Lepisosteus oculatus: one gene and its partners. The protein of the gene in region 1 interacts with the protein of each later gene in a pairwise test. Links are inferred from orthologs where the notes say so. Each region holds a gene or a part of one and is shown in the gene's direction. Other genes may lie near its edges.

Region 1 (8,695 bases):
TGGTGACTACTAAAAATCTAACATTGACTATTTATAACCTGGTATGCAGCTCAAGATATGGAAGCTGTCAGTGTGCAGTTTCCAGTTTTAGAATCTTGGTTTGCTTTCATGATTAAGGGGAGTAGTTGAGGTGTTTAAGTGGCTCAACTTTATAGGCACTTCAGAGAACTGGTTAAACTGTGTAGTCCATATATTGCTGATTTGACTTTGAGGTCTTTAAACAACTGTGACTGGGATTTCCTGAGCTTGCTACTGTAGGTGCTACAGGGGTTTTGTAAGCTGAAACTACAGTATCTAGGGTGTCCTTGTCTTACTATGGAAAAGCAGCTCCTTTCCGTGATGTGTCAGTTGCCTGAGAACTTGCTGGGTTGTCAGAGATCCTCAGCACCCTTCTCACCTATGCTATTACAGGGGAATGATTCTGTCAAGTTTGGATCAAACGAGGTCTTATTGGTCCTCATTCTGGTGCTGCTGACATGAATGCTGTAGCCGTGAGGTGAGTTTATTAACTAAAGGGTTACAGTGCAGGGTTATAAACAGACAAATATCTGGTGACTCCAAATCTGTAAAACAGGAGGTTACTAAAGAGTGAGGAAAACCTACGCAATAAATCAAAATTGTAGAAAAGCAGTTTTCTATCTAAAACAGTAAACACATTTGTCAATGCACATACTAAATGGGCCTGTCTCAAAACCCAGTAGAAAATGCAATCACTTCATAAGGAAATAAACATTCATGAAAGCTAAACATTATGTCCATGTTATTCCATTATTCAGTAATGTGTAATTATTCAAAAAATATTTTTTGGGGGAAATTTCGATTCAGTACATGTGGTGACATAGAGGAAAGGTTTAAAATCATGCAACAAATTCTTGGGTGCTAAACCTGGAACTACAGGATAAAATCATGGAGATCTTAGCAATATGTTTGTTTACTGTAGTTTAGTAACAAGGTGGCATTCATCCAGGTGAAGAAAACTCAAATTGTATTCCAAGAAGGAATGGAAAATGAGACAGATCCCAAAACAGTCTATGAATTAAAATACATGGAACAGACTAGAAAATGTGATTTTCTAGGAAAACAATCCTAAAAGCAATTTACATTTTGCTGATTCATTTGTTTTTTTTTCTGAGAAACTAACTTGGTGGTGTAATATGGCATTCAAGGGTGATCTCTACCCCAGTTCAATTGTGAGTCATTTAATCCAGTCTAGGGCCGCAGGCCTGTGTCCTCAGAACCGGCAAATGTTTGAGTCAATTCTTTTTCTTTCCCTTACTTCCTCTTCTTGGCTTTTGGGGCAAGGTACTTACCCTGCAACAATAATAGTGTGACATTCATAAACTCACTTAAAACAAATCTATTAGAGCAAAAAACTGCTTACCAATTGCTGAAATGGAATATCTGTGTCGGCCTATTAAAATGAAATATCACTATAGCCTCAGCTAATCACATGGGTAAAAATGCTACAAATACTTAATGTATACTGTACATACTGTACAGTACTAGCAGACGGTGCCATCTGTAAAAGTCAGCTCCACACTGAAAGTAACGAGAGAGCGTGGCAATGTTTCGGCTGTGGCAACCTACAAGAAGATAATGGTTGTTTGAATGTAATAAATCTTTGGATTTATTTAAAAGGCACCCTTACCTGGTGCCTGAAATTCGTGTGGGATAGGTGTCTTTTAAATACCTCAGATCATCTTGAGTGTGTATAGCAGCTGGGCAGGATACACATTTCTTTTTATTGACATAACTGGTAAAGCAGGAAAGAGAAAAGAGGGGAACCTGAGTACAGAAACAGATGGCTTATAACTAGTCCATTCAAATCACTTCAATGATCATACCAAAAATATGCCTCAGTAAAAAAAAAGTTTTCAGTGGAAGCACAAAGATATGGGACATAAAGGAGAACACATATGTTTGCCACTTTAAAAATCCAGTTTTGAACAGGAGTCCATTTGGGCACAATATTTCCAAGTGGTCAATTCCATTGCTAAAGAGGGAAAGGAAACTAAAGTTGTACCTAGCCAGTCTGCTGCAGCTAGATGATGAAACAATGGGATGTTTTAAAAGATAAAATGTACAAGCGCTGCTGAACGATGGGTCTGTTTTGTGAAATAGTTTGAGGAATGATCTCCCTCGATGCACTTTTTAAAAACAACAATTATTTAACTTATTGTAGCATAGCAAGGCTCCTGGGCAAATGCTACTTTTTATGCAGCGGCAGGCAGAAAAAGAAATCTAAAGTAAGAAACAGAAATTCCAGGATGATGCAGAAGTGTAAAATTTCAAATGAACACTGTTTCTTTTGTTTCAGACTGACTGGATAATGTATTTCTTCATGGGATCTGAATGGCAAAAAAGGCTTAGAGAATGCTTTTCTGATTTCAGCCATTTTGTGGCATAGGCCTTTTCAATCATGTATTAACACTAGTGTACCATCAAAACTTCTGGAGTGGTTTGCAATATTCATTTTGTTTAATTAATGAGATCATCCATATCTGCACAAGTACAAACCAGTAATGGTATTTTCAATAGTATCTTTGGTAATATTCAACATAGTACTGTTTTTATAATATCATTTTTGTCATGAGAGAGTTCAAATGTAGTACAAGAATATATAGAATAATAATTGTATTACCTTTAAATGTCATTTTGTATTGCATTTCGAGTTGGAAAAGAACAGCACTTAAAGAACGTTTGTCATGGCTATTTCAATAGTGAACTGAAAAGCGCTATTTAAGGCGTTTTTAAATGTTCTTTTTGCATAAGCACAATGATAACAGTTGTCTTTCAAAATCAACACTTGTCACACGGCAGCAAGACAGGAAATACATTAACCACTGTGAAGATTCACCTATAAAACTAAAGCATGGTGACTTTATCATGATTTTCTTTTCACTATATGCTATAATTTTGTCATGTCTTTTCTGAAATTTACTAGACTGGGACATGGTAATATTTTAACATACAATAATAAACCTTTTTACGGATGTTTTTTCTCTTAGACCAGTGTTTTAAAGTACAATGGCACAGTAAAGTCATAAGAAACCATACTGAGAGTGCAAAGAATATACAGTATAATGTCTATAACCACAGCACAAGAGTCAAAATAAAAGTGATAAATTCACTATGATAAACATTTACAAGGGTGCGAGAATGCTTTTAACACAATAGGTTTTACTGAGAGGTACACACCCTCAACATTTTTAAGGAATACAAACAAGCAGAAGCACAGACAGCCACAAAGTGAGACATTCGGGGAAACAAGCCAGCTTCCACAAATGTGTGTGCCTAGCATTGCTTGAAATTCAAGTTCAATGAAAAAACAAGACAAAGCATGCATTCTAAACTTATTGAGCATAACAGTACACAGGCTGCAAAGATACAGGGAGAAAAAAAATGAAACACATTAAAGGTTCAGTAGATCTCTTTATAGCTAACTAACAACAATAATAATCATATACCGACACGTAAAAGAAACACTACACTCAGGTCTAAAGGATGTACAGTAATTCGATATTTTAAGCATGAATCTCAACTCTAAAATATTCATATTCAATTCTAAAATAATAGAATATGAACAAAAATACTATAAAAGAATCATGATATGTGTTTGACATGTAACACAAAACCCCATCAATGTGAAAATAAAATTATGAAGTGAGTACTGGGTTTGAGTTTTGACACAATCTGTTGACATGCAGACCTGATCAGCCTCTGGACAGACTGCTGTGGGCTTGTAGTCACCTAGTAAAGGTTGATTGGTCGCTGTCGGCTTGAACAGTTGGCTTAAACTTCTCCACCCCACTTATGTGTGGCGAGTGTACTTGCACACTGCACACATTGCATTATCAAGGTGTGTGCTACACATTGTAGTGGAAGGGATTACCTGTAAAGCTCTTTGAGTGGAGTATCCAGAAATGTGCTATATAAAGGTAAAGAATTATTCAGTATTATAAGTATTGAAAAGACCAACAGTCTGTGTAATTCTCAAGTCCTTCCATCAGGTCTGTCAAGGATATGAAAATGGCTTTCCTTAGTTAATAAAACATTCCAGCACTCCATCTCTTCCACCCCAGATGTTTTAAGAACCACAGGACTTGGCTATTACCATTAACATGCTACTGTAAGACAGACAATAAGAGTCATGCTGCTGATGCTCGGGTTATTTATTCCTAGAATTTCTAAAAGTGTATTCAGTGCAGTCTGAAACGTATTGCACAGAGCAATCACCCTCTGCTTTCCATGATGTGGTCTGTCCCTCACACAGCCAGTTTCCTGATTTGTCTGGACTAATATGCTGATATATCTCATTCTCCAGGCAACGTCTCTCACAGATTGGTGGCTTTCAATCATGTACATACTGTAGCAACCAGGACAACTTCATAACTTCCAAGAGGGTTCTGATCACATCTTTCATGGTTTTTACACTGCATAAACTGTTGCTTTTTTGAATGCCTAATTATACAAATGCATAGTAAAGTCACACGAACCACTGAGGATCCAGTGTTTTAATTAAATCAAATGACTTGTGGTCAGTATTTTCGTATCCCAAGGAGCAACATTTCTCAAACAATCAACAAGCCTATCTACTCAACGTTTCAATGAAAAGTGCTTTAAGTGTGGCTCCAATGAGCTCGTGGTGAAAAGTATATGCGTCAGGTCGTATGTAAGATCACTTTATTGGCCATATACAATTTATTGTATTAGGATTGGAAATGAATGGCACAGTTGATACCTAATTGCTTAAATAAGACAGGTAAGGTAAGTGGAGTTTTTGCTTTCAATTTAAGACTATGTTTGAATGCAAGAACCGTTTCATTAAGGCGGTGCGGTTTACAGTCCAACTGAAATATTTTAGCGCTCAATTCAGTCTTTTAGTTAGCACATCAGCGGCATATAGAAAGGAGTTAGACCCTGACGGATCAGTTAATGATATTTAAAAGCATCCCGGACTGTATCGTTATTGTATGCTTGCAGCTCTGCAGTTACCTGTTATCAGAAAATCTTGCTTGTTAAAACAGTGCCCTGCTTTGAAAATACTCGCTCAGAAGGAAAGAATGGGCGGCTGGAAACAATCCGACCGCCCCTTCTCTCTGACCACTCCCGGGAAGCCTCTGATTGACAGTATTTTGCAGATCTGCTATCTGTGCGTTCGCTCTGTTTTGTTGTAGCTTACGGTTCGTGTGGACGCCGTGTATACGGTGCTAAGCATGTCCTCATTACATACATCAAGGTATCACCTCTAGCACTGTGCTGCTTGTACATATTATCCGTATTTCCTGATATCAGCAGGGATTTTTATTTTACATTTTTTATTTTTTTAAGGAAAACGGTCGGGACCTTGCGTTTGCCACAAACTTAGCAGGACACCGCACAGAAAGGATTTTGTCTCCTTTCATTTATCTTTCTTGTTTAATTTCATTAGTGAAATAAACATGGCGAGCGATTCTCCAGCCAGAAGCTTGGATGAAATAGACCTTTCAGCTTTGAGGGTAAGTTTGTATAAGTATTGGATGTTAATTGTCAGTGAATTTTTTGCTATCGAGACGGCGAAGAAAATGGGGCTGATGAGAACGCTTTGCACCTGATCAAGCTCTTGTGAATAATACGCACAGCCAGAGATGACACCAACTTGAACTGATGTAACGGGCGACGATGTCCTCACAATTTATCACAATTGCACCTTTGCTTTTAATGTAGTACGAGCTTGGAGTAAAATGAAACATATTTCTCGCTGAATTAATATTTAAATGCTGCTGAGTACCTTTTATACAATAGGGTTTTCAGGCTGCTGGATTGTACTCGTCCACATAAAGAAACACACACCCCAGAAATGCTGTGCTTGTGTTTTCTCCCTATATAGCCCTATTTGACAGACATTACAAAAAAAAATCAGTCAAGTGCAGTACATTCAAGCGGATCACGGAGAGTTGTGAAAATCCTTTTTAAAACAATTTTCTGAATTCTAGACAGAGTGGACATAGACTAAAAATCCAAAATTCTTATGTAATCCGGGGTTTTTATTTGCTGTAACACTGCAGAACATTTAACAGAAAACCACGGCTAATAAAAGACAAGAAAATCCCACCTTTTTTTATAATGTCACAATTGTGATTTGTGGTGATGTCAAATTATAATGCCTTTACGAAGGGAAAATATAAAATGTTTACCACCCAATAATCGCGGCATGAGATGTAGTTTAGAGCCTCTCAGTTTTACAGCGGATCACCTAATATACCATATTTGTTTGCCAAGCAAACATATACAGTATATCTTCATGTACTGTACGATGTTTTTAGCATTTCACGGTATGGAGCGTTTTTCAGTTTAATACCCAGCTTCATGCTGCCAGCATTAGAGCGAAAATGATAACTGAATATGGCTCGGTTTGTGCACAATGCTAGATGTTTGGTGGCGATTCTTTTGTCTCAATTTTTCTATTAATATACTGTATGGTAACGCTGTGGGCTTTGCTGCTAGCTTCTGTTTTTGCCTATCGCAAGGTGTATTTGTTACCTTATTGTCACCATTTGTGTCAAGTTGAACGTGTCCAACTAAATCCTGTGGAGTGCTCATTTTCAAAATGAGTTATTATGCGATGTAACCTTACCTGCTTTAATGTGGTTTTGATTCGTTAGTGCCTTAAGTTAATTTATGCATAATATCATCATTATAAGCAGTGCTAAAACAGATCATCTTAACAATGTTAATCCTGCAGCATTTCTGTTAATTTAATTTAAGGGCACATAAAGACATGGGACATATCTTTGAGATATATAACATATTGTGGGATATTGCCTCCCATTTTAATTTTTACGAGTTTTTTAATTCTCTGTAAAATGCTGATAGATTCATCCGTATTACCTACAATGCTTACTCACTGAAAACATATTTTTTCCATTTATGATTTAGACGTTTCCCTTAATTTCATGGTTCATAATCAAATACATATATTTAAGATTACCCGGAATGTAGAGTTTCAACAATGTTATGTATTTTGGTATTGGAATGTCTATTAGCAGCTTTGCAGAGATGGACTACATTTTGAATGTTGAGTTCTACTTGAACCATACAGCCTAAAATCCAGGCAACAGAATAGTTATTTATAATAGGCAAATCATTTAGCAGTCACGTGTCCTACATATACACGAATGAAGATGTAATTGACTGTAACTTGCATAAGTGTGTTTTCTGTTATTCAAGAAGGCAGTCCTCCTGTGTGTAGTACTGTATGTAACAATGTATTTCTACACCATGTGAGCTACTGTACATATGTGATACCTCTGCACAAGCAAAAAATTCACTTTTGATTGCTGCAGAATATTTGTTTCACAAAGTCTTCATTTGTAATAGTGCTACAGGTCTGAACTCACTTTGGTATGGGAAATGTAGGAAACCTTTTTTAAAATAAAAACAAAAAACAGGACCAGTGATGTGTGTTGAGTTGTTTAGGATAATTAAGATGCTCTACAGGAGATAATGGCTGGATGCAATAGCTGCCTGTGTGCACTTGTACAAATGTTGTAGATTTTTTTGCTTCTTATCTGTTATAGCTTCACTGCAAATGGCACTCAGTTATTGTCTATTGGCACTGCACCTATACCATGAACAGTATATGTTTTATATTCCCACAGCAATAGGGAGGTGTAACTGGTAGGGTTCAATAAAACTTTGCTCCACGGCAAAATAGACCAGGGATACATTGTAAAAACAGATAACACTGATAACCATTAATGACTTTACTCTGATACTTGGAGGCCTTTTCAGAAACGCAATCCAAATAATATATCATTGGAAATACAAGTCTTGCCTTTTATGGAAAATGAAGCACGCTATTAAGAGTTGTAATTAGCCAATTAGCTGTGATATGAAAAACTGTCTTTGAATTATACAGATGGCTAGCTGTTCATATGTCTCTCCCATGAGATTTCATACCCAAGCCTATTAAGGGTGTAAGATGATTTTCTTGTACTTTAACACTGTGGTATGGATTTCATGCTTTTTTAGCTGATTTATAGAGTATTTGCCAAATTAAACAGTAAAAAATGCTTTAAGGAGGGAAAGTTTGACAAAGTAAAAGTCATTCATTTCTTGTTCCTATTGTTGTGGTTCCACTTATTTGTTTCTCCGTGTAAATATTCCCCAATATCATAATACTGCACATATACTGGACTGATAGATGTGGCTTTGAGGATGGAGCGCTAGACGTCAATGTTCCTATTATGTGTAGAACACAGGTCTAACCTTTTCTTGCTAGATATCCATAAATCTAAAACAACTGAGAAGGCTGGATTGTGGAAGAAAGAGTTAACAGAATGCACTGTAGTAGGGCAAGTAGGAGTTGCCATTATTCTGGAGATTTCAATTATTCTGGAGATTTTGTCTCTGCAAGTGCCTCTTCTACAGTATTATTTCTACTGAAGGCCAGTCATTCTCCCCTTCCACCTCCTTAATCATGCTGCTGACTCTGCTCTGCACCTGAAACTTCTTTGTGAGAACCAATTAAAATTGCTGGTGTCTTATTTGAGGGGCAGGAACAATTTCCAAGTTGTATTTGGCTGTGTTTTTGAATAGTTTAGATATGAAGAGTTTATTTGTTGAATATTCTAAAAGCACAATTAAAACAAGTGCAAGTTTTGTTAAACAGGTCAGGTGTTTTGGACATTTATATGAAACGGTTGACCACAAT
Region 2 (8,123 bases), on another chromosome or scaffold:
AAAGGAAAAACCAACATGAAACATGGAGTACCTATATAGCTCCCATAACATTGTAATTGAATATTTAGCTTTTACAGTACTTCCTTTATTCTTTTTGAAACAAACATTCTTTCATTTTTTCTCCTGCAATGTCTGGTATTTGCATGTACTATAGTCTATAACATAAAGAGAATCCATGAATCTGATTTGGACTTACAACTTGAATATTATTTGTTTTAAATTTTTCTCAAACCTCTTGACTATTTCTTCTAAACAACTGTATCTTAAAGGGTTAAGAACTACCTTAATGTGAATTTAACACAGGCCTCAGACAATCATCCTGTCGTAGTAAATTTCACATTACACCACTTTGCACAATTTCACATTGTATTTATCATTCTGTTTGGCATTAATTTTCCTAGAAAGAGCATTAGTAAAAGTAACTCGAAGGGTGTGGTACATTTTTCAGTTAATAACTCACTGTGTACTGTATGTCACAGATATACTGTAAGGATGGCTTGCTCATTTCTTAAGGCAGGAGAACATTTCAATTTCTGAAAACTAACATATATATTTACAGGTTTTAGAGGATAACTCTCCAGATTTAAGAAAATCTAAAAAAAACATATTTTTATAACTTCAAACACTACACTGGACACATAGAGTGCATTTTCTCTACTTCACAATGTTGAATTTGGGCCCTATATACAGTATGAGGAGATAGCATTAAGAGCATTATCAATTCACTGCAAGAGTTTTCTACCTTTGTTAATATAGGTATGTTCCTTTTAGAAGGGGAGGGTATTTACCTTTAATATGCACTGACAATTTTTTTTTATTGTTTTTTTACCTATAAACAGTATTGGGAAAAGTAGACAATTACAAGTTACATGTATACATGATGATCGGTTTAAATTAATAAGACATTCAGGGATTTGTTCAGGGAAATTTGTTTTAAAATGTATGTATTAATTTGCATGATAAAGCAATGCCTCCCTCAAGTAACCTCTAATTGTAATGCTTTATACTGTACATATCTTGCCCAACACAATCTGTAAATAATTGTAGCTATCATAAATCTGTGAAGTGTATCTATCAGCAGGGATATCCTTTTTTTCCCCTTTAGTTTTTCTAACCACATTTGCTCAAACATGTTCCTTGTTGACATGGTCATGTTATGGCTAGCATCACTACCAGAAAGAACAATAAATAAAGCCACCCAGGATTCTGGGTGAACATGAACAGTGATTCTGGGATTTCTTGTCAAGGTGTTTTGTTTTAATGTTTGTAATGGTTTCACTGTTCATATCTGCCTAGGACAATATTATATTTTTGCCTTAGAAATGTTCCTGCAAAAGAACAATGCCACCCCGATGACTTTTCTTGATTTTTTATATATTTAGCTTGGCTTTGTTAATGTTGCTTTTGCATCATTTCTTCTGTTCCAGCCATTCCAAATTAACATTCTTAGGCAGTCGAGCATTATAATAAGACTAAATGCATCCTTATAAATAATATAAATACTAAATGAATTGAGTCCGGACAAAACACTAATCTTAGAGTGTGTGGATTGGGTTTGGATTTTAGAACTCTATACTGGCAGCTGATTTAAAGTTTTAGTCTCTGCTGCACTTGGAAATCTGCTTGATGGAAAATAGATACATTTATGCTGTGCACACAGACCTTAAAATTCACATCTGAGTTCCTGGAGGGCTGATCAGTCACAATGTGTGTACAATCTCCAGACTTGTTAATGCAAATGTTCAGATGAGCACAGGCAGATGATTTTTTTTTCTTGCTTAGTTACTTTAAGCAAACATTACATCTGCTTCCAGGGATGCAGAGGGGGCCACTGTCATGGAAGTAATGTGTATTAGCATTACCGGAGTGGTTAGGTTGCTATGGTAACTATATGGAGAATGTTTACTGTGCTCTTAAAGAGCATAATTCCACTGGAGAATTCTTACTGACCAATAGTTTTTAATGTATCTAGACTTAACTGAATAATATTGTTTACAGTTTCAAAAATCACAGTTTTTTCTCTATGTTTCTTTTTCTTCTTCTTTTTCACAGCCTTAGTCCCAGACTGTCCTGGGGTCAGCTGCTTTGGTTGCTCCTCTCCACTTGTCTCTGTCGAGCACATCTTACTCACTGACTTCACATACCTCCATATATTTTCTCACACAATCTATCCATCTCTTTCTAGGCCTGCCTCTTCTTCTGTTACCTTCCACCTCAAATTCCATTACCCTCTTTGTTACTTCCTCAACGTCCCTCGTCATGATATGTCCATACCACCGTAACCTCGCCTCTCGCATCTTCTCAACCACATCCACCACCCCACATTGTCTGCGGATTTCTTCATTTCTGATCTTATCCTTCATTGAAATCTGTAGAATCCATCTCAACATCCTTATTTCAGTTCTTCTCATCAGGTTCTCTTCCCTCTTTCCAACTGCCAAGCATTCAGCTCCATATAGTAGTACAGGTCTAATCACAGTCTTGTACATTTTGCACTTTAACTTTCTAGGAATTTTCCTGTCACAGATTATTCCAGTTATTTCTCTCTACTCGTTCCATCCAGCTTTCACTCTTTGTTTTACTGCCTCCAGTGTTTCTCCTCCCTTTACCAGTTTTGATCCAAGGTATTTAAAGCCATCAACTTGTTGGCTTTATGTACAGTATGTTTTATGTTTTATGCATAAACATATAGTTTTTTCTCTATGTTTATACATTACAAATTACAGTAGGTATTTACCGTATATCTGTATGATGAACTTACTGTACCTAGCACTTTTCAACAAATTCAATAAGCCCCAAAGTTACCACTGAGATTGCACTTGATTTGCTCTTAAAACAGACACATAATGGTTTGCTGAAGATCATCACTGTTGAGATTTAATTCCTTTAAATAATAATATAGTTATATATACTTTTAATCATTCCTTGATAATGAGGTCTAAAAAATTAATAAAACTAATGAAAATCTAAAACTCCAAAAACATCATACCTTAAGATAGTAAATTAGATGACAAGTAGGAAATTCCTTTTTTTTTATTTAGTTCAACATCACTACAGCTAGTATATACACTTTAGAATGGTATGGACACCTTTCTGTGAAATTCTCTTTTCATCACTTAGATCTTTGAAGCTACATTACTTGGACAAAATATTAGGAGCTCTCATCTAGCCTATGGAACATGCACCTTAATCCTGAAAAATGAAGGTCACCCTGCTAGGGGAATGGGATAAAATAGTGTGGCAAGCTTTTGTTGTTTGTAGAGGACCAAATGATATTCTGTAATATTCCCTACGTTTTGGTCCTTGAGTGAACATTACACATGCTGGCAGGAGGAAGGTCAGAGTAGTTTGGATCTATCATCTTTAATCCCTAGACAGACATTGGAAAGTGAGCTTCATTTGAGGAGCACTTTTTCAGGCCTATAAGTAAAGACCTGCAGGAGCAGCTTTTAAAAAAATGTCTGTCTCAGCCAGGGTGCTGAAGCTGTAGTTTTGGATATTGCTCTCTGCTGACTTCTTGCAGTTTGCAGTTCAAGTTTTTTTTTACAAATACATGAAAAAAAATAGTCTCTGCAGGGCAAAGGTGTTTTACAGAGAGTTCTGGAATACAGCGATTGTGTCATCAAGCTCTGCATAGCAGACATTTTCTTTTTTAATATTTCTCCCCTTCAACAAAAGGTGTTTTTGGCTGAACAGCAATACACACAATTCAAATCAAATGTAACATTTTTCTGAACCGTAATTATTAACACTGTGGTACTTGTAAAAATTAACACTCTAGTAATTTATAAGATTAAACCATAACTTTCACTACTGCTATGTAGTGTACGGTGCCACCAACTGAACAATTGAAAACAAAATCTCTTTATTATGGATAGATGACTTGTTGTTTGCCAAAGGATGCAACTTACAGAACAGGATGAAACAATAGTCCCACCTCACTGGGCTTGAAAAACAGGTCATGTAATGACTTTCTTAAGATGCCTCCATCTTGAATGTCACACAGTATCTCAAAGACATTTCATACTCCTGTTGACAGAGTTCTGTCATTAACACCTCTTTCTTCCTGCTAGCCTTTTAAATACAATTGCATTGTTCCAAGTCTTTTTTTAATGTATAACCCCAATGAACTCTTGATGTGAAAATTGATGTACAGACCTCATACTGTACACAAGCTTTTTTTATTACTTTTTGCTTGCAGGCTGGAATTAAGACTCAGCATCAATATAATGCTTTTAGAGTCGTTCCAAACAGAATTACATGTGAACAAAGTGAGAAATGGAAGTCTGAAATAACTCAATGTAGCATTAAGCTTGCTGTGACTCGGATAATTTGATTTTTCTTTGGGTTCTAACCCTTCACAATAAAGGAAATTAATAGATACAAAAAATAAGAGTTACAGTTACTATGCTTTGATTATTAGTGACTATTATGTTCTGTGCTTATGAATGAAAAATCTTAAGACACATCTTAATATTGTCAAATAAAATGTTCTTGCCTAAACGGGTCATTAGATTTGAGCCTAGTAACCAGACCGCACTCAACCCAAAGTCTTGATGATTTCTGCATTAGTTACAAGAAGGTTTTTAGATAACACCAACATAAATTCCTCAATACTTTTCATGTATTAAAGTAACAATACACGCACTAACCGTCCAATACACGGCATCTCTTTAGGATTTTTTTTCTCTTATATTCACGCTGAATAATGATTGAATGAAAAAAGGGCAGAACTGCTCTCATCTATTAACTCTTTACAAAATGGAAGTTATTGTTCTTTATTTATTCTGTGCTTTTCACCTTTCAACATTTTTCACTTGAATTATATATTTTAGAAATAGTTTTTTTCTATATTGCAGAGCATATCCTTGTTCCCCTGAGACTACAATGACTCTGTGATCACAAAAATAAAAAATAGAGGAGAAAAAAAGATGGGAGGAGTCTGGTGACGTCTGCTTCAATTCACCCTGCAGCAAAAAATCTTCTGTGTGCACAGACTTATTCAAATGAAGCAAGGCGATTGTTTTGCGCACTTACACAGTTCGTTTGAGTCTGTACTTCAAGAAAATGAACCAATAATGGAAGGACATATAAAACTGGATTTTTCGCAACCCGACTCTGTTTTGGGTTGATATAATCCACACGGCTTTCTCCCGGTTTGCAGTTAAGGTTTTTGGATGTCACGTTTATCACAAGAAAGGAGGAGTCGTTGTTTTTTTCATTGTAGCTTGGTGGTGCTTTACGTTTGAGAATACAGACTGTTAAAATCTTCAACACAGGTGAGCAGTTGTGAACGTCTTTAAAGTTTTCACTTGAAGCACCCTGTTTTGCAAACAAGAGTCTGTCTTTCGAGGGGTGCAGAACACAGCAAGGTTTTGCGCTTCTCGGGGGTGTTAACTGAAAACAGGACAATCTCAATACTGTGAAGCTGAATTTTTCCAACTGAAGTCGACCGAGCCAGGACATCGTAGGGCATCGTATGCTTCATACTTCCAGAACCATGTCTTCTCAAAACAAATTCAAGAAGGACAAGGAGATCACAACGGAATACGAAACACAAGTGAAAGGTCGGTATTTTTCTAAAACATTATTTGACGGACATAGTAATTCTCATGTTGTATCTTTGCATTGCAACTTTCCCATTCACTGTTTGTTTATTATTTCAATATTAAAATTGGACTCTAGTGTCATTCCCTTTCTGGAAAGCCTAATAAAAAAAACTTGCCGGTGGATATGAAACGCACATCTGCCGTTGGTGTGACTTTGCGCTGCATTGCAGCGGAGAGCAGTAAAACAAGGTTGGCTAGAGAGTCATTCCTATTGAGACACGTCCTTGTATCATTTTGACAGTTTCATGTTATCTGAAAGGTTGAATATTTTGGTCGATGGGCCTCCTTCATGTATTCTGTGTCTTGATTTATGTTGACACTGCCATTGGGTTACAAGGTGAATATCGCTCGTGATCTTGCGTAATATTTTTAGGCAGTTGTTACTGTATATTCCAGGTTGTATTAGATAACTGGCTTTAAATCACTTCTTGAATAACTATATTATCGTGCATGTCATATGATAGACTAAGCATTTCTCTTTGAGGTCGTTCTGGATGTACATCTAAAAGAATACCATCACGTTGACCATTATTAACAGTAGTAACAATCCTTCATAATATTAATAATTAACAGTCATAATAAAGTGGCAGACATGCCCCCTCAAGTAGTGTGACGCATGCATGAGTCAGTACGTGTTTAAATTCATATTTCACAACTGGGTTTTAGGGTACTCTACGAAGTCATGGTAAATTTGGGAGTTATTTTTTCCCCTCGTATCTACTTCCGTGGAAGTGTGCTGAATGTTCGTGTTTTTCTATCATCTCCGTGAATAGCATCTCGCGGCTTTGTTGCTGGGTAGACTGATGCTTGAAATGCCGGTCCATTTCTGCGCGAGGCTCCGAAAGCAGCCAGATGGGTGGAATTGGAGGGGGAGCTCCTTCAATTGTTTGCCTTTGTTTACGCTTTAAAGCCTTTGTAGTGGCTTTCGAGAAAGGCGGAATGAAATAGAAACTAAATACCCCCCCCACCACCACCCACCCTTACACACACACACACAAACGAGTGTTAGACTAGTGGAAACGTCTTTGCACACACATAAACTCCATTGTGAAAACAACAGCATGAACAATCTTGGAACATTGACTGAAATGTACAGTAACATCTGGGATACTGGTGGTATATTGAACCACTTGGCTGATGCACCGGGCAAAGCCTTTCTAAGCATAAATGGAGAATTGCTTTTAAAATACAGATAAGGTTTAGAATATCTCACAATTGATTCCCTGATAGTGAACAGTTCTCAAAGCTGTGTTCACTTGACAATAAAGACTGCAATAAGAACTGTGTTCCATTAAGTTTAAGGGAAGGACTAGAGAGGAGAGAGTTTGTGGGTAAGAACACTTTTGAACACTGATTTCAGTAACTCATTCCAATAGAAACTCATTCCAATTACAGACTCGACTGGTATGGCATATTCAAAAGAAAGGAAAAGATAATCCAGGCCGAGCTAGAGTAATCTGTAGTCTCCTATAGTCACTTATAAAACCCACAGGACAGCATTCTTCTCGAAAGCAGGTGTCTGTCAGGAAGTCACAGACCGCTATAGAAGCCTAGCACCAGCGAGGACATCTATCACCATTGAGATTGAGAACACCATTCACTCTTGCTTTACTGCTGTCAGTGGCAGTCGACTCATGAGAAATGACAACCATGCGTAATGGGCATTGTGCACCCTAAGGGTTATTACACAGCTCGGCCTATCAACTACAGCAGTTGTCAGGTTTGGCCACGGATCTGTTATTGCGGTACCATGCACAAGGAGCCTTAGAATGTTAATTAAAGTTGTGCATATAAAAAACAAAGGACTTTAGAAGACTTCATCATTCCTTTAATAAACAGAAGTCCGGATATTTTATTTTTTCTGTATACTGTACCAAGTATATAAGTGAAAATTTTTGCTTGCAACAATTTAGACAGCATGGGCACTTATTTCTCCTAAATTTAAAAAACGAGGAACAATTTCACAACATGGTGTGCAGATGGGCAGAAATCGGAAATTATAAACAGCTTTGGAAAGTAAGCTGTTTGAGTATGTTGCCATACTTCATAGTTAGCATACTTCATACAGCTTCATACTTCTGTTTTTTAAGCAGTGATACTTGTGGTTAAAATGATTGTATTAAACATATTTCACTGTTTTTATATGTAAATAGTAGTATTTTGTCTCCCACTTCACGTAAGGAGTTAATGCAGCGATTGATTTTGAAGTGACCTTGAAAGATGCTTGTCACAGCTGTAAAAAAAAAAATCATGTTCATTTTCACTTTGTTGTATTTCAGATTAGTGCTGATATGCAACATATATGAAAGATAAAGTCATAGGTTGTATAATTTGTCTTCATTATCTAATTATCATTGCAAGGCTTCACCTACTGTATATTCTTTAGTATCTGGCTACATGTTTTGATGTATCATGCATGTTTAAAAACAATAGGCTAATTGTTTTCTCCAGGAGGACGATAAGCAGTTTATGCATCATAACAGAAGTGGGTCTTCCTATGTTTTATCAGCATTA
Region 3 (8,356 bases), on another chromosome or scaffold:
CACTAGTGTACAGTGCATCTTTTTTCACCGGGTCCTTTGTTTTTAATTAATATATTAACCCACAAACAGGAAAATAACTCGATATTACTATTGTCCCAAGCAAGGCTAACTGGTATGCAAGGTTATACTGAGTTACACATTTCAATTCTGTTGCTACGCAACAAAACACTTGCTTTCATTGAAAAGCACACCATTCTAGTCAACCTCTTCCCTTACCCTTTTCACAGGTCATTTCCGCTGTTTGTAATAGAACTAGCACGGCAAGAGAAGTGTCCTGCAACAGCGGTTATTTCTGATTGAACGCATTTGCTGGCGCCCTCTGCAGTCCTGAAGGGATCGCATTCCCGCTACGGAGTCGCAATGACCTGTGACCACTAGATGGCATCAACTGGTCGCCCAGACACGGGGCAGAAATGGCGCATGTTAATAATTGCTTTAATCATATTATCCTTCATATAAATATTGAGTCACGTATTCTAGCACACATGAAGTGTTGCAATTACATTTAGAAAATGAACCAGAAGAGACGGAGTGCATGTCCCCACACCATGTTTTTCAAAGATCGAAAAACGTTTTTTTTTGTTCCGTAACACGAGGAAGGAGAAGGAAAATTGGCCTCACAATAGGGGGAGATTTGTAGCAGTGCGAAAAAGGAAATGTTTCTGTCAGTATGCCATCGAAATGCTGCCCAGTAGAAGTGTACTTTTAAATATTTCCAATGCCTCACATGCACACATTTTTCATTGTTCTTTCTCCACGGACAGCAGTAATTTAAGTTTAATTACTGTTATTGTAGTACAGGTCTTCTGTCGAAGGTGACTAAGGATTGCTCGGCCACAGACCTCCCCTAAACCATAAACAACACTGGTAATGTAGCTGCTATTGTCATGTTGGACGGTGGGCTCCATTTAACTCGCTGCTGTCTGTTTCCCCAGGGCCAGAAGGAACAGAACCCTTCGCTGTCACCCCAAACGTCACTGCAGGGCAGAGCTAAGACATACAGTCCTCATTGTTCACAGACATCTTTCTTCGCACAGAATGGCATTTTTAAAGACTAAGCAAACACTGGTTGTTATGTACCTCCAGAACAATTAATTAAATGCCACAGCACCGTCACACAGAGTCAAATGACACAACCTGTTTTTGGTGGCACAGAGAGGTGACATGTCTGCCTGCAAATCTTCATTAGAGTGTATGGATTACTGTCATATCAAGCTATAGTACAGTTCCACAACAAACCAAGGAAAATAAGACTAACCCATTTAGAAAAATCTCAGGAATAGTATTAACCACAGTCACTTCACCATGTCACATTCATGAGCTAGATACTGGCTCAGGGGTCTATCAGACTTCATCCAAGGTGTGATCTTGCCTTGCGGCCTATGCTGTCTGAAATGAAGCTCCTTGCTCACTGCACCCCTGTCAGGCTAAAGAGGGGATCCTCCTGAAAGGCATAACCAGTTAAGACTTTGGTGGATGCTGCACATTGGTGGTGGTGGAGGGGAGACCCCATTACCTGTAAAGTGCTTTGAGTGGAGTGTCCAGAAAACCGCTATATAAGTATAAGCAATTATTAATATTAATTATTATTATTAATTAAGACACCTGTCTAAACCCCCATTTCTTCATCTCCAGGACCTACAACCTGATGACAACAGGAAATCTGTTGACAACATTCTATCCACATTTTAAGACAAGACTGTGCTATACAACCAAATCATTTTGTTCTGTTATTTTATATTCATTATACAATTCATTATTCATTACAGAGAGGTAGTTGATTAAGAAAGGTATAATTTACTTTAGTATTTTCAATGGCAGGGTATTATTTACTTTACAGATCAGTCATATTGTAATTTTGGAATGTATTTATTATTCACCTGAATAGATTCCATTTATTTTTTGACACCATCAAATGCATGGATACAACTGTGAATGTTAGACACTCTCATGTTTCGGCACTAACAGCCCTCTGCTGTTTATTTATTCTCCTTCTCTGGTTTCATCATGACATCCAGCTGTCACTCTTGAATTCCATTAGCTGTCCCTGCATTTAAGATTAGACTATGCCAACAATACCCATTTTATATTGGCTGCTTCTCTTAATTACTGCTTTGCTTATTGATTCATTTGCAGTGGCCACTTGATCCGTTGTGATCCTGAGCCTCAGCTGGCAGGCTCAGGACACAGGGCAGGCCCACACCCTGGATGGGATACCAGTCTATCACAGGGCACACTCGCATACAAGGGGCAGTTTAGAGAATCCAATTAACCTGATTGGCATGTCTTTCGTGACCTGAGAAAACCCACTCAGTTTCCCCAAGACTCAATGTTAACTACCATTCCACTCTTCCTCCTTTGTGTATCATTTGTTGCATTTGATACAGCCTCAGTTTATTTATAACTAAAATCTGAGTGTCATTTTTCAGTCTGTCGCTACAAATTGCACTGCAGAGAATGGTCAATATGGCCCAGAAGATCATCGGCTGCGGTCTCACCGAGATAAAACAGCTCTATGAGGAGCGCTGCCGTGGTAGAATTCTGGCCATCACAGAGGACAGTCACCACCCCGGGCATGAGCTCTTCACCCCACTGCCCTCAGGCAAGAGATATAAGAGCATACGGACACTTACCACTAGATTCTTCAATAGCTTCTATCCACAAGCAGTGAGACTGGCGAACGCATTTAGCCATCCCCCTCGGACCACACCTACACCATCACCATCTACCTCTTTATGATTTCTTATCTATTGCACATCTCCAGTCATTGTTTTCACGTCTGTATTGTTTACATTCAAACTGTCTACATGTTTACTTGCACATTGTCTATTGTTTGTTTGTACATTGTCTTGATGCACTGTTTGCACTTTGTTTTGTTTTTTACACTTGTTTTACAATCGAGAGACTTTCTGTAAGTAAGAATTCCATTGTACCAGTACCGGTTACATATGGCAATAAAGTTCAAGTTCAAGTTCAAAGTTCAAGATATGTTATATTGCCTTTTCTTCTGCTGTGTTTAGTAGGAATGTCTGATCGGCTTCCAGAGAGATTTACAGATGAGCAGTTTTCATGAAAAAGGTGAGATTGAGAAGATCATCCATTCCTTGATCACTCGAAGAAGTATGTCAGGTTCCAACAGGGGTACAGTAGCCCAAATCCCAAATGGCTGAGAAACTCCTTTACCAAAAGTTTCAATTGAATGACTGCTACAGAACTTTTCTCATTGAAAATCTCTCAGTAACTTGAGAGATTGACAGAAATTCTAGCCCAAGGTGCTTTTTCATCTTGACTAATAAACAAATTAAACAACTGTTTTTTTATTTCTGTTCAGAGAGCTGTGTCTTCTGAAGCAGCTGCTACCGGATGTAGATCAATATCACTTACAGATTCACCATCAGACTGGAAGGATGCTAAACAGCAGTGAGCTGGGAACCTGATACAGCCATTCCTTTCTCATGTATTGTATTTAAAACAGTTTGCTTTCTCATACAGTGCTCAAAGGCCATTCTCTGAGATGAAGTGTGACTGGGGACAGTGGAACCTGACATTCATTGCTTCTCAGACAGAACAGTCAGTGGAGTTAGAGCCCTCTTCTCTGCATCAGGTCTGCGGCAGAACTTTTGTTCATTCAGATTGTTCTTGTATATAAGGAGTCATTAGTCCTATGTCTTCTTTTCAGGGGATTTACAGGTTCAGATCAAAATATTTAAGTGCAATATTTTTCCAAAGCGTTAAATCTAATTGAATGCAGCATCGACTATGTTTCAGGATCATATTACTTTTCCTCTTATTGAATAAATTCCTTAAGCATGTATACTTATCACTAAAGCACCTTAAAACGCATGTACAGTACTACAAATACAGGGCATGACCAAAAATCCTCGATTAGCAAGAATAACCCTCCTACAAAACTGAAACTGAGTTTGCCACAATTTGTGTACTACATTTTACATTGTGATACAAGTACTTTTCCATTGTGGCTTCATTTAAAAAAAAGACACACTTGGTACTGTGGAGCAAATTTTATGTCAATTAGACATGTTCCTCTTATAAGTTCATTATGGCCTCAGACCTACAGTATGTGCTTAAGTTACGGTGGCTGACACAGTACTCCTGTCACGTCAATTATTAATGCCCTAAACTTTCTGATGGTCTGGAGTCCCAGAGCTGTAGCCTCACAGCCGCAGAGCCCTCAGAAAGAAGAGAGACGCATCTTGCTACAGACACCTAAAAATGTCCAAGCGAAGATGGGTGGAATTAAAGATCAGCCAGACTATCAGCTGTACAACCCCAGTGGTCCGGAGACAGAGGCCACCTTCTCCTGCAGGTACGTAGTCTATTTATTGTATAAACCTCAGGAATTGTGAAATGTCCCCCCAGTGCATTTAAACAAAGGTCGCATCAGGTGTTTAGCTTTGCATTTTATTGTCTTAGCTTTTTTGTCCATATTGCTTGGTGATTGCTTGGAGGGTATGATACTAAGTGTTTGGCTACATTAGAATCGCACAAGATATAAAAAAGTATTGAAAACTGAGGTTGCAATACTAATACAATTAGACGTTTTAACGGAGTTGAGGGCCTTATCGAGACAGTAATTTGATCCATCAGCAGTCTGCTTGCCAGCCACAGGTGTCTATTCATTTAAAATGTGCTTCCAAGAATTATGTTTTTTTTAATGAATTATCGGTTCATTGAAGTTATAATATTGCAACATTGCCCAACATCACCATACAAGAATACTGCATTTCATTGTACAGCACAGTATTGCATTGCATTACATCTTTACTCCCAATAAATCATATAACACATTAGTATAATAGGAAAAATAATTAAATGTTGTTACTGAAAATACTTCATTTCGTATTTAACTTTATTTACAGTAAATAACCACCAAATCAAACAAAGAATAATAAAGAGCTGTCGTTCACAGAAATATTGATTAGACCATATTTAGAGCAAATTTATACATCTTAGAAGTGATACCAAAGTTTAACCGACTCGGAAGCCTGCTCACCGAAATATAGCCGAAGCACATACCGCACGCCCAAGTGAATGATCTCAACTTTTAATTTTCATCTTTTTACAAAACGCAAATTCCTTACCTGCTGCCACCTTAAACTAAACCCCTCCTCGAGTTATTTTTTTTTTTTCCTGGAGGCGTGAATCGCAAGCAGGCACCTTCAGGAACGTCATCACCAGCGGTCCCTGTGTTTACGTGGTATTGAATATGGCGGCCGAGGCGAGCCAGTAACGGAGAGTCCTCTACACGTTTTTTGCACAGTGTATTTGCTAGGAGCTGCAGAAGAAGCCTTACATGCCAGTACGTGGTCAGTTCGTTAGACCGGCTCTGACCCTTTTAACTGACACTTTGTGTGAAGCCTTAATCTCCTCTTCCTGGGCCCAGGAACGACCGTAATGGAAGACGAAGAGAGACAGAAGAAGCTGGAGGCCGGCAAAGCGAAGGTATGACATCTGAGGGAATGCGCTATTGTGAGGACAGTGTGCTCAGAAATGATTTCGTGTCGTTAGGCCGGCTAGTTGTTTTCAGTTGTAACACTGCGCAGTGTAACCGGCAGTAATTTAGTAACTATTTCATTGATCTACTGTAGCTACAGCTCAGGCCCCGTATTGCTGCAGTGTATCTGTCAGCTGTCCTTAACACTGCAACTCCGACTGACAGCTTCACTTTTGCCTTGGTTGTCTTTGTTGTAGTGAAGCTTTGAAAAGTGGCGTGTAAGTTTCACGTACGCTTGCTGTCGGGGAAAACGCGGATTGTGTGTCGGACTGATCATGACATGACTGGACTGTCTTGGATCGGTTTAAAAAAAAAAGACAATCCCGAGATTCCTGCTGAACAAGATTTGTGAGAAGCATGCCTTCACATCGTTGAACTTGTCATCGCTGTAAGATACGGCACTGAATGGCTCTACATCACATTGGTTACTGCGTTTCTTCAATCAGCAGGATTCAGTGAGTTAGCACATTATAATTAAGACAAAGTGCTTAGGTTTTCACTGTTTTTTTAACGCTCATTTATATTTTTCTATAAATAATTACGTTGACCTATCAATGATAAAATAGTGTAATAATGTATATCCGCACTGTTGATGTTACTGTTCATTTTATTTTTATATGTACAGTAGTTTGTAATACAAGTTGCTGCACCCGAAACACACTGTAGCTGAAATCTTGTTATTAAATGAAATAAGCAAAACGTTCCAGAAATCAGAAGTCTGCACAGGTGAGAATATATCGGCCCATTTTATTAACAGTGCTCTTGAAAAGGCTGGGGTTTCATGCAACAGTGAAATGTTTCTGCCCAAGTTCATATGTGTGTGTGAGGGTGATGACAAAGATACAGCAGTTTAAAAATAGACCAGACCCTTATCCCGTGGCACCTAAAAATACAGTATGAGCAGGGCAGAAGAGTGCAAGTGTTACGTAGGCTCATTCTGGTCATATTATCTCTTCAATGGGATCACTTTTAGTTTCTGTGGGCATGGCCTTTGCAAACTCATAATTGTTGTCTCCTTTACAATTTTGTCTGACGAATGAGAATACAGTAGGTTTTAGGTCCTCCCCCTGAATTTATTTCCTTTGTAGTAAAGGTTCTTATCAGTAGTAGGAGACTAACATTTTCACTCATTTATTAAAAGCCTCACCCGGATGCACTCTGTTCACCTTGTAAGATGAAATTCAGTGTGAAATCATCTGATATATGTTGTGTCCGAGAGCCTAAATCCTTGTGAAAACCAATTTGCTTCTCCCGATGTTGTGTTAGTGAGTCGCTGACAGCAGTGTCTCGTCAGGAGTATGAACCCACAACCTTCCAGTTATGCTGCGCTCTGCCCCGCAGTGAAACAGCCATGCATCAGCAGGGGAACATCCTTCTGCTAGGTTTACAGTGTTAATGTGTCCAGAGTGTCACTGGACTTTATTGGTGATTTTACTATATGCTGTTAGTTCCCAGCTAACGCATAGGGTTGTTAATACTTTAGTGCTATGCAAGCAGCTTTTATATTAGGCTTGACGATTTTGGGTATCTTTTGGAAACATGTTCTGTTCAAGACAAAAGACATTGCTGATAATTTGGGTTTATTATTAAAACCAAAAGCCTTTTTGGGTAGTACTTTGATATTCAGGAAGTGATTATATACAGTAAATGACATTTTGGCTTCCTGACATAGTGCCTACTGTATACCCAAAATCATGTATAACTAGAGCATCTCCCTAAGACCCCACTGTTCCCCTCCCTGCAACCAATTGCAGGTGTATTTGTATGTGTATGTATGTAGCTTAAGGTATTATGAAAACAGTAATACAGTCAATACATTACTGTACAGTATACAAAATAGATCAAATAAAATTTGATATTTAAATGCAGGGAACATAGCGGACGAAAAGTCTTCTGCCTCTCATTGCAAGAATTGAAGCTTCATTCTTGCCATACTTACGCCCCAAACAGGTCACCATCGTCCCACCCCTAAACTTGTTCAAAATCTCAATTTGCTGGAGCCTCAGTATCTACTTGGCCACGCCACACCACACCACACCACACATGTCACACCAGATGTGAATTTGCTAAATTCCCTGCATTATTTGATTTTCCATTCATTTTTTTCATCTCCCACCACGTAAATACGAATTCGGGTAAAAATATTTAGCATAAAAGGCGAGTCTGTTGTATTTTTGTTTCGAAGCAGCCATATCACTCTGCAACTTAAAACTGACAGCCCCACTGAAGCTCAGCAGTGTGAGCCTGGTCAGTACCTGGATGGGAGACCTCCTGGAAAAAACTAAGGTTGCTGCTGGAAGAGGTGTTAGTGGAGCCAGCAGGGGGCGCTCACCCTGCGGTCCATGTGGGTCCTTATGCCCCAGTATAGTGACAGGGGACACTATACTGTTAACAGGCGCTGTCCTTCAGATGAGACGTAAAACCGAGGTCCTGACTCTCTTTGGTCATTAAAAATCCCAGGGTGTTTCTTGAAAAGGGTAGGGGTGTAACCCCTGTGTCCTGGCCAAATTTCCCATTGGCCCTTCCCAATCATGGCCTCCCAATAATCCCCAGCTATGAATTAGCTCCATTACTCTGCTCTCCTCCCCACTGATAGCTGATGTGTGGGGAGCGTTCTGGTGCACTATGGCTGCCGTCGCATCATCCAGGTGGGGCTGCACACTGGTGGTGGCGGAGGGGGGTCCCCATTACCTGTAAAGCGCTTTGAGTGGAGTGTCCAGAAAAGAGCTATATAAGTGTAAGCAATTATTATTATGATTATAAAGTCCTGAATGGTTTTTCCAGTTTCCCAAAACCTTCAGGCAGGTCTAACTGATATATACAGTAAGCTTATCTTGAACA
Region 4 (7,573 bases), on another chromosome or scaffold:
AGCCCTCAGTATGGAAAAAACATAACATATTGCTGGAAAGTAATTACTCTTCAAATTCTGCATTTTTGGAAAATTAGATGTACATTCAACATTCAAGCATCTGCCAGAACAAGGGATGTGATAAACCAGGTGCACAAGAAGCCATGCAGGTCAGTTCTTTGTACTCACAGTTTGTCATGGAGCAGTTCTCCAAGCTTCAGTTCTGCATAAAAAAAAAAACATACACAAATGGGAAGGGATCTCAGGATTCATACTTCTTGACCTCCCTACTTAGAAACAACTGGACTTTCTGCCACACAACAAATAACTTGATTTAAAAGGCAGTTTTAAAATCTGGTTGTAAAAACTGGAAAACACAATGAAGTCTATGCCTTTTCAAGGAAAATGATTTACCCTAAATAAGATGCTGTACATCAAGATTCCCTAAAATTTGCTATGGTTAAACATGACATGCAACATACAGTATATAGAACAAGTCAGATTTTGAACTGGCAAATCTATTTTAGCTTCACTATAAGACACTGTAATATAAGCAAACTTGCAAGGATGAGGGGCAGGGGGAACAGGTGGCTCCAGGAAAGAAGCACACAACACTGTAATAAAAAAACTACTTTATATACATTTTTTTTTACTGATTATGCAATCAATAATATATTTTTTAAAAAATTAGGCCGCAGTTATGCTTTACCTTTACAAGCCCCTTTGAAGTCCAGGGTGATATCCACCCAGTTTGCGTTATTCTTCATCTTCTCTGGAATTCCAAGCCCCCAGCCAGCATCATCATCCTCAACAGATGACTTCATTACCATGACAACAGCTTCAGACAGATTAACAAACAGATGCCTTAATTGGGATCTGCTCCAACAAAGCTCTTTCACAGCTTCACCTTTTTTTTTTAAATTATAAGAAAGACAGGCTGGCTAATTCATAAAAGTACTGTATAGTAAACCAGAGCCAAGAAGTATTTTTGTCTTATTTTGAATGAATTACCAGGAAGAACAAAAAAAAATCCTTTCAGTAGATGAACATGAAAAGAACTGTCGGAGATAAAATAAGAATTGAAAGCACTGTGGGGGTGTAAAAGGAACACCCTGATCCCAAATATTATTAAATACATACAACCAGCAGCAGTATGATATTTGAAACCTTTTTTTCCCCCAGAACGTTAAACAAAAGAATTCTGGAACAAAAAAGCTAAATCATCAGTTACACTGTCTGACAATAAAGGGTATCTATTTAAATGTTACTTAGAAAAAGATTACTTTTTTAACTTATGCAAGAAAAGTGATTCAATGAAGTGTATGTTTATTTAAATGTGTAGGTTCAGAATCTCTGTTAATCTCTATCTGCATTATTTACCTATAAAGAAAACAACTTTATGAAAAAGTTAAAATCCATATACAAGTAACAGGTTTATTCCATGATGAAAAAAAGAAGAAAACACAGCCAAAATGTTGCGTTTTCATTCTTCTCTTTTCAGCATGGAATAAACCTATTATTCCTTTACAGCCTACTCATGCTGATGCAGCTACCCACCTGAACTAATAATCCATTTACTATACATACACATACGTCATTATCCTGTAGCCTACTTATTGCTCCAGCACCTGGTCTAATGGATAACTTGTGTAGGTGGTTGCACCCGGATGGAGGTTGTAAGCAACTATTGTAGATAAACATGTACACTAAGGAACAGGTAAAGGTGACACCTGAAGAAGGCTCCAAAGCCGAAACACTGTGTCTCTTTTCTTTTCACCATGGAATAAACCTTCATCTGTTCCTTTGCAGCCTACACATGCTGACACAGCTACCTATTTGTACACTAATGTACACTGTCATTATGGTACCATTAATGACATACTGTATGCACATACTTGGATATACTGTAGCTTTGCAAACAGGTCCCCAGCCTCAATTTTCAACAAAATTAATTTCCATATTCCTGTTGCAAAACAGGAAATAATTTTGTAATGTGAAGCTGTGATAAACCGGCATAAAGTTAGTGATAGCCTTGCTTTAAAACTTTTACACAATGTGTCAGAATATCAACTGTTATTCACCTGCAGTTATCCACAAAGGAAAGAACATTACTCGGACAAATCTCAGGTAAAGGCTAGAGTACCTAATCTAGATATTCATTTCTGTCCATACAATTTTATTACAGAGACCATTAGACACAAAAATGGGAGAGATGCAAGAAACATACACTGCAAAAATTAACCAGTACAATTCTGTTAAGAAAAAGCACAGAGCCGCTGAATGTAGAAAACCATTTCTACAATAAAAAGACTTAATGAGTTGTATGAATACGGATATTAAGGAAAAAATTGGTAAAAAAACACGTGACATATTTGATCAACACAAATGTCAACAGAGATCTGAAACTGCAAATAAGGCCTCATTATGTTAATTGTGTACATTAGATGGCATGGGTTTTAGACATGCCAATAGTTTCCTTTCTTGAGACTCTAAGAGACTTTACAGTTTTCAGAGGATTACCAGATTGTGTCAAGAATTCAGCGTGTGGTGTGATAAATACATCATTTCATTTTTGCATCTAATAATTGTTGAAAAAGTAAATTATTATAGATTTCGGGGACAAAAATCTATTTCTTAAGCTGTATGTCAGAGCTTTCAATTGACAAAATATATAGAACTTAGTAAGGCCTTCATGCAGAATACACAAGTCAAGCAATCACAGAAAGGCGATTCAATGTACTCTCTAGCACAAAGGGAATTTTTTTTTTAGTTCTTCTGACCAGATATACTGTATTTTGCTTTATTCTTGGGGCAATTAAACTAAATCTCCGTTTTTACAGTATTAGGGAATTATAATGGAAACAAACAGATTTATTTCCTGAATCCCTTGAAAATAAATAGGCCCTAACACATCACCTGTACATTTTGATACAGCGCATAACAGAACACAGTACGGCTGACTAATAGTACAAGTGCAGTTTTCAGTTTAGAATAACATACAACATAGCTGACTACTGATTTCAACAGACTAAAGAGGTGCAAACATAATGACTGGCATCTTTATCTCACATCAGTAAGACCACTTGCTAGAATTAACAAGCGGTCAGCAAACACAGAAAAATATAATTGTCAAAAATAGTATTTTCAGTAAAACGTCTCAGTTACAAGGTGCCATACGTATTTCTGGATGTTTCCAGTCAGTATTAACCACTGCGCTTCTGTACCTGTCTGACTTCAGTCAAACGCAACAAAAAATTTCAATATTGAATATTTTTGCTTGTATAGGTAACCTTGTCTCTAAAAAAACGATCTAAACTATAAAAGTCGTAATGTCTGTTAATATGCCCTCATAAAACACAAAGGACACGTATTATGACAAGGAGTTTATAAGAACACATCATGCATTTTTGCTCTTATGTGAACAAAATCGAAAATGACTTGCATATGTACGTACAAAAATCAAAGTACATCAGAAAAAGGTTGGCCACTTAAAAAGTTCGTTCATTAATTTCTTTTATATCTAATTTGCACAGGTGTCTGCAACAACATACTTAAGCTTTAGGTACAATATATCACTGACGAAATAAAATATATCCACAAAATCACACTAAACCAAGCCAAAAAGTGAACCTTAAGTAAGACATTCATTTTAATTATATTTAAAATCGCAACTTTGTAATATATTTTAACATCATATTCAAACAGAAGCACGATTTCTGTTACAGTAAGGCCTGAGATAATTTTAATAGTTTTAATTCTATACTGAAGGATTTTTTAAGTCCGTACTGAAACATAAAAAAACATTACAAAGCGCAGCAAACTGCATTACGTAATTACAAATGCACTAACGCCTCCAGTTCTATCATACCTGATTAAAAGCTGATTAAAACGTTGTCTGAAAGAATTCAAATAAAAGGCCATACAAACTGTTTCCTTGGCATGAAACACCGAATTGCATTCTGGGAAATGTTGTACCCATACCAATCCCAAATGAACAACGACAGCTAATTGGTGCTGATTATAAACTTCAGTCCCCATAAGCACGTACTCTGCAACGTCATTTTTCCTCGCCAAAAAATCGTTCAAAACTACCAATCCCTTAGTCCTCTGCATTCTCGCGAGATTTAACAAGTATTGACAGCAATGGTTCTGGGAATCGGATGCTGTTTGTATCAAAACATTTGGGCGTCTCTTAGCTCGTACTGAAGAGCTGACTTCCCCGTATGGGACATCGCTTGCCTCAGCGATCGGTTTGTATTGTTTAAATGCCCTTAAAATATGAATTTGTCTCTGGAGTGCAAGCTATTTTGAAAGAGCATGTTGGCATTCAGCAGGTGCAATAGAATGTGTGCTATTCCAGTTTTGTCTCAAACACTACAGCACTAGCAGCAGAAGGCTGACAGTCGTTGCAGGTGTCAGGCCCGCTTGCAGGGAAGCTGCACACAGCATGATGTTGCATTAACTCGCTGCAAGTTGTTATAGTTACGGGGTGAACATATATAGCATGCCACAGACTGTTGCTCACTAATTACATGGCATGTCAGGTCACGTCTGCCACATGTACTGTACATGCATAAGATGTGTATTATATATTTGATTTTGTGCAATCATGTATTGTAAGAAAATTAAGGACGATGAAGAGCTATTTCCTATATATGGACGATTTATTGATTGTTCGATGTATTTTATATTGGCTTTCGTAGCTGCCATGACACCTGTCGTATGAGATACTTTTATTTTTCTTCCATTTTAGACTGCTAAATGAGTCGCTTCATTTTCAAGTTTGCAATAATGGGAACATTGTGTTAATGCGATAAATGTAGATACATGTTTTAACTTGGGCAATTAAGAAAAGGCATGTGATAGAACCACAATTAAGTTTAAATTCAAGCTAATAAACACCAAAATTCCATATAAGGATTTATCATTCTTGTATAAGTGTGGGAATCTCCATAAGGTGAACTAATCTGCTTCTTAACTGTAAGACTTTCCTTCTTTGCGTTTTAAATTTTCATGTAGAACACTACAGATCCAAATTCACAATGTTTCGTGAACTTGAACAATGGCGTTGATCAGATTGGCATTTATTAAATTATCCCCGCTTTGTTAAGTGTTCTTTTGATATGACTCGGTGAAGATGATTGCATTTGCTATTCAGGACGTTTCTGAAATTTGGAACTTCGTTTTTTCTTAATTTAAATACCTTTGGCATTGACAATGTACAGTATTACTAGTTAACATCAGAGATTTCGGCGAACTTTTGTTAAATCTTAAAGACAGTTGTAACCTCCACCAAATAAAAATGCATTTATGTATCATCCACATATATTTGTAGGTATGAGGTTAATTTCACGCTGAAAATTAGTAAGAAAAAGCTCCATGTTGTTGAGAAAAGCTTTGAATGCATTCATAACGTCTTTCTCCATTTTCTTTTAATTGTAAGTATTGTAAGTAGGTTGTGAATAGAGTTTAAGCCAGTTATAATACAGGATTTATGGATGTACCCAACATTGAGAACTTTATTAAATTTCTAAATCTCCAGTTCAGCTGTTACCTAGTATTTTGATTCCAAACTAAAGCATGTTCTTTCATGCTTTTTATTCGTTATCTCTTATTATTGTCAATGTACTGCAACTTGGTAAAAGAAAGAGCCCTGGTGATTCAAGGTCAGTTCAATAGCTACAGTATGTGTTGAACACATCAGCTGCAGATTCCTCACAGCTTGTTTTATCAAGCACCAGCCTTCAATATATTTGTTGAAGAGGAGGTTCAGAAATAGAAGTGCACAGCACAAATTTTAAGTTGTTACAATAGCCTGACACTTTTCAGATCCCCAGGAGAGTTACCGTTGTGTGCATTACGCTAACATATAACTTTTTTAACCATACACAGTACTTTAAAAGAGGGCTTTAAAAGTACATCTTTATGGTGGTATTATTTATAATATTGACTTGTTATTATTTGATACATGTTGGGGCAGCAGAGTGTAGTGGATAGGATTGCTACCTTTCAGCTCTGGAGCCCTGGGTTCAGTTCCAGACCTGAGGTGCCATTGGCATGGAGCTTGTATGTAGTCTTTGAGTTTGTGTGGTGATCTACTTTCAGTCCCATAGTCCAAAGACATTGTAAGGTTAATTGGTTTCTGGGAACACTGGCCCTTGAGTGTGTGCCCTGCGATGGACTAGCCCAGTCCAGGGTGTATCCTGCCTTATGCCTGTTGTTTGCTGGATCACGTATGACCCTGTATTGGCTAAAGCAATAAGAAAATGAATGGAAAGACATAATGAATGGCTGCTGCCCAGTTAAGAGTTATTTTGGTATTATCTGTTCTTCTATTGTGATTTCTGGCCACTCAAGTTTTTGGTTTGATCTCAGACTACACAGAACGTTCAAGGTATCCACAAATTTGGAAGAACTTAATCATAATTAAGTCAAAATTATTTGCTTTTGAGCAAGTGTTTGTAAATGTAGCTGCAAATTTGCTCAGCATAGTAGTTGAGCAAGTACTCAGCAGTCAGTTGACCTCAGCAATGATCTAAACCTTTTATGCTTTTTGCAAAGATGCTATAAGATTCAAACATTTCTTGTATCTTCACAGATTTTTTTGTATTATGATTGTTTCACCAGCATGGCAGTATAATCCTAAATAAAAAATACACATACCTGCTTTTGAGTTAGGAAGTTAGAAAAATGACTTTATCAGCACTGTCCATTATACTACTGCCCAGTAATATACTATTTTTTATGAAGAAGGCTCCACGGCCGAAACGTTGTGTTCTCTTTCTTCTTTTTTTTCAGCATGGAATAAACCTATTACTTGTATTTTTTATTATTATTGATTTGCAGGGCCTTTAAAATGATGAAGTGAAACGAAGCAAAATGAATAAGCCAAAAATGACAACCGATAAAGGGTAAGTTGTGATTACTCTTTCATTATAGGAGTGATTGTTGGAGATAAAAAAACATTAGTGAAAATAAACAAAGAACATAGTTATGTTTTCTGAAAAAAAAAAGATTTATGTGACAGAGGTGTGGATCAAATATTTCTTTTTAACCAGGTCAGTGATTGAATGTTTCTTTGTACAGGAATGCTTGGTTGAGCCTTACAGTATGTGGTCTGTATTTTTCTTGCCGGAATAATTGCTTTGAGGTGATTACTTTTCTAAGACACTATAAAATACTTGTTATTATAAAGAAGACAACATTGACCAGCAAATGAGTTGATAAGCTTTCTGCAGCAGTATTTGTGTCTGAAACACAACACAGGAATCATTCAATCACTCCAACTTTTATATACATACTGTACTCCTGCATACACTGTAGCTGTCAACCTTGTCTGCACAAAAATATGCAAAACAGAGACAACAGCGTTCTTCCATTGTATGTGATACTAAATGTGGTGGAGTGTCATCCACTGAAATTGAGCCTTTTGATAGTGTTGGGTTAAATATGTCCCAATTATATACAGTGGTAATGGTATTAAAACAGGCCTTGAAGATACCATACATGTTATGTTCTCTGTTGTGTGTCAGTGGTCTATTGGCCTGTAATAGTGTTTGGCAGGAAAGGGTCCTATAAATGAAAGGACAGTGTG

The links.
Region 2: the proteins of tnika (region 1) and srgap3 interact in a two-hybrid assay, tested with the Homo sapiens proteins (2 studies listed by BioGRID and IntAct). The link is inferred for Lepisosteus oculatus from reciprocal best matches to the Homo sapiens genes TNIK and SRGAP3.
Region 3: the proteins of tnika (region 1) and akap9 interact in a two-hybrid assay, tested with the Homo sapiens proteins (2 studies listed by BioGRID and IntAct). The link is inferred for Lepisosteus oculatus from reciprocal best matches to the Homo sapiens genes TNIK and AKAP9.
Region 4: the proteins of tnika (region 1) and agtpbp1 interact in a two-hybrid assay, tested with the Homo sapiens proteins (2 studies listed by BioGRID and IntAct). The link is inferred for Lepisosteus oculatus from reciprocal best matches to the Homo sapiens genes TNIK and AGTPBP1.

What each region holds. Positions count from the first base shown.
Region 1 is NC_090708.1:14,163,911-14,172,605, reverse strand, and holds the start of tnika (TRAF2 and NCK-interacting protein kinase), read left to right. Parts: upstream 1-5,156; 5' UTR 5,157-5,216; coding exon 5,217-5,239; intron 5,240-5,431; coding exon 5,432-5,498; intron 5,499-8,695. UniProt on the Homo sapiens protein: Serine/threonine kinase that acts as an essential activator of the Wnt signaling pathway. Recruited to promoters of Wnt target genes and required to activate their expression. May act by phosphorylating TCF4/TCF7L2.
Region 2 is NC_090699.1:52,656,793-52,664,915, forward strand, and holds the start of srgap3 (SLIT-ROBO Rho GTPase-activating protein 3), read left to right. Parts: upstream 1-4,970; 5' UTR 4,971-5,479; coding exon 5,480-5,567; intron 5,568-8,123. UniProt on the Homo sapiens protein: GTPase-activating protein for RAC1 and perhaps Cdc42, but not for RhoA small GTPase. May attenuate RAC1 signaling in neurons.
Region 3 is NC_090705.1:5,253,788-5,262,143, reverse strand, and holds the start of akap9 (A-kinase anchor protein 9), read left to right. Parts: upstream 1-5,223; 5' UTR 5,224-5,415; coding exon 5,416-5,463; intron 5,464-8,356. UniProt on the Homo sapiens protein: Scaffolding protein that assembles several protein kinases and phosphatases on the centrosome and Golgi apparatus. Required to maintain the integrity of the Golgi apparatus. Required for microtubule nucleation at the cis-side of the Golgi apparatus.
Region 4 is NC_090698.1:61,943,143-61,950,715, reverse strand, and holds the start of agtpbp1 (cytosolic carboxypeptidase 1), read left to right. Parts: upstream 1-4,116; 5' UTR 4,117-4,229; intron 4,230-6,825; 5' UTR 6,826-6,858; coding exon 6,859-6,890; intron 6,891-7,573. Other genes in the region: naa35 (N-alpha-acetyltransferase 35, NatC auxiliary subunit), read right to left, coding at 169-202, 689-809. UniProt on the Homo sapiens protein: Metallocarboxypeptidase that mediates protein deglutamylation of tubulin and non-tubulin target proteins.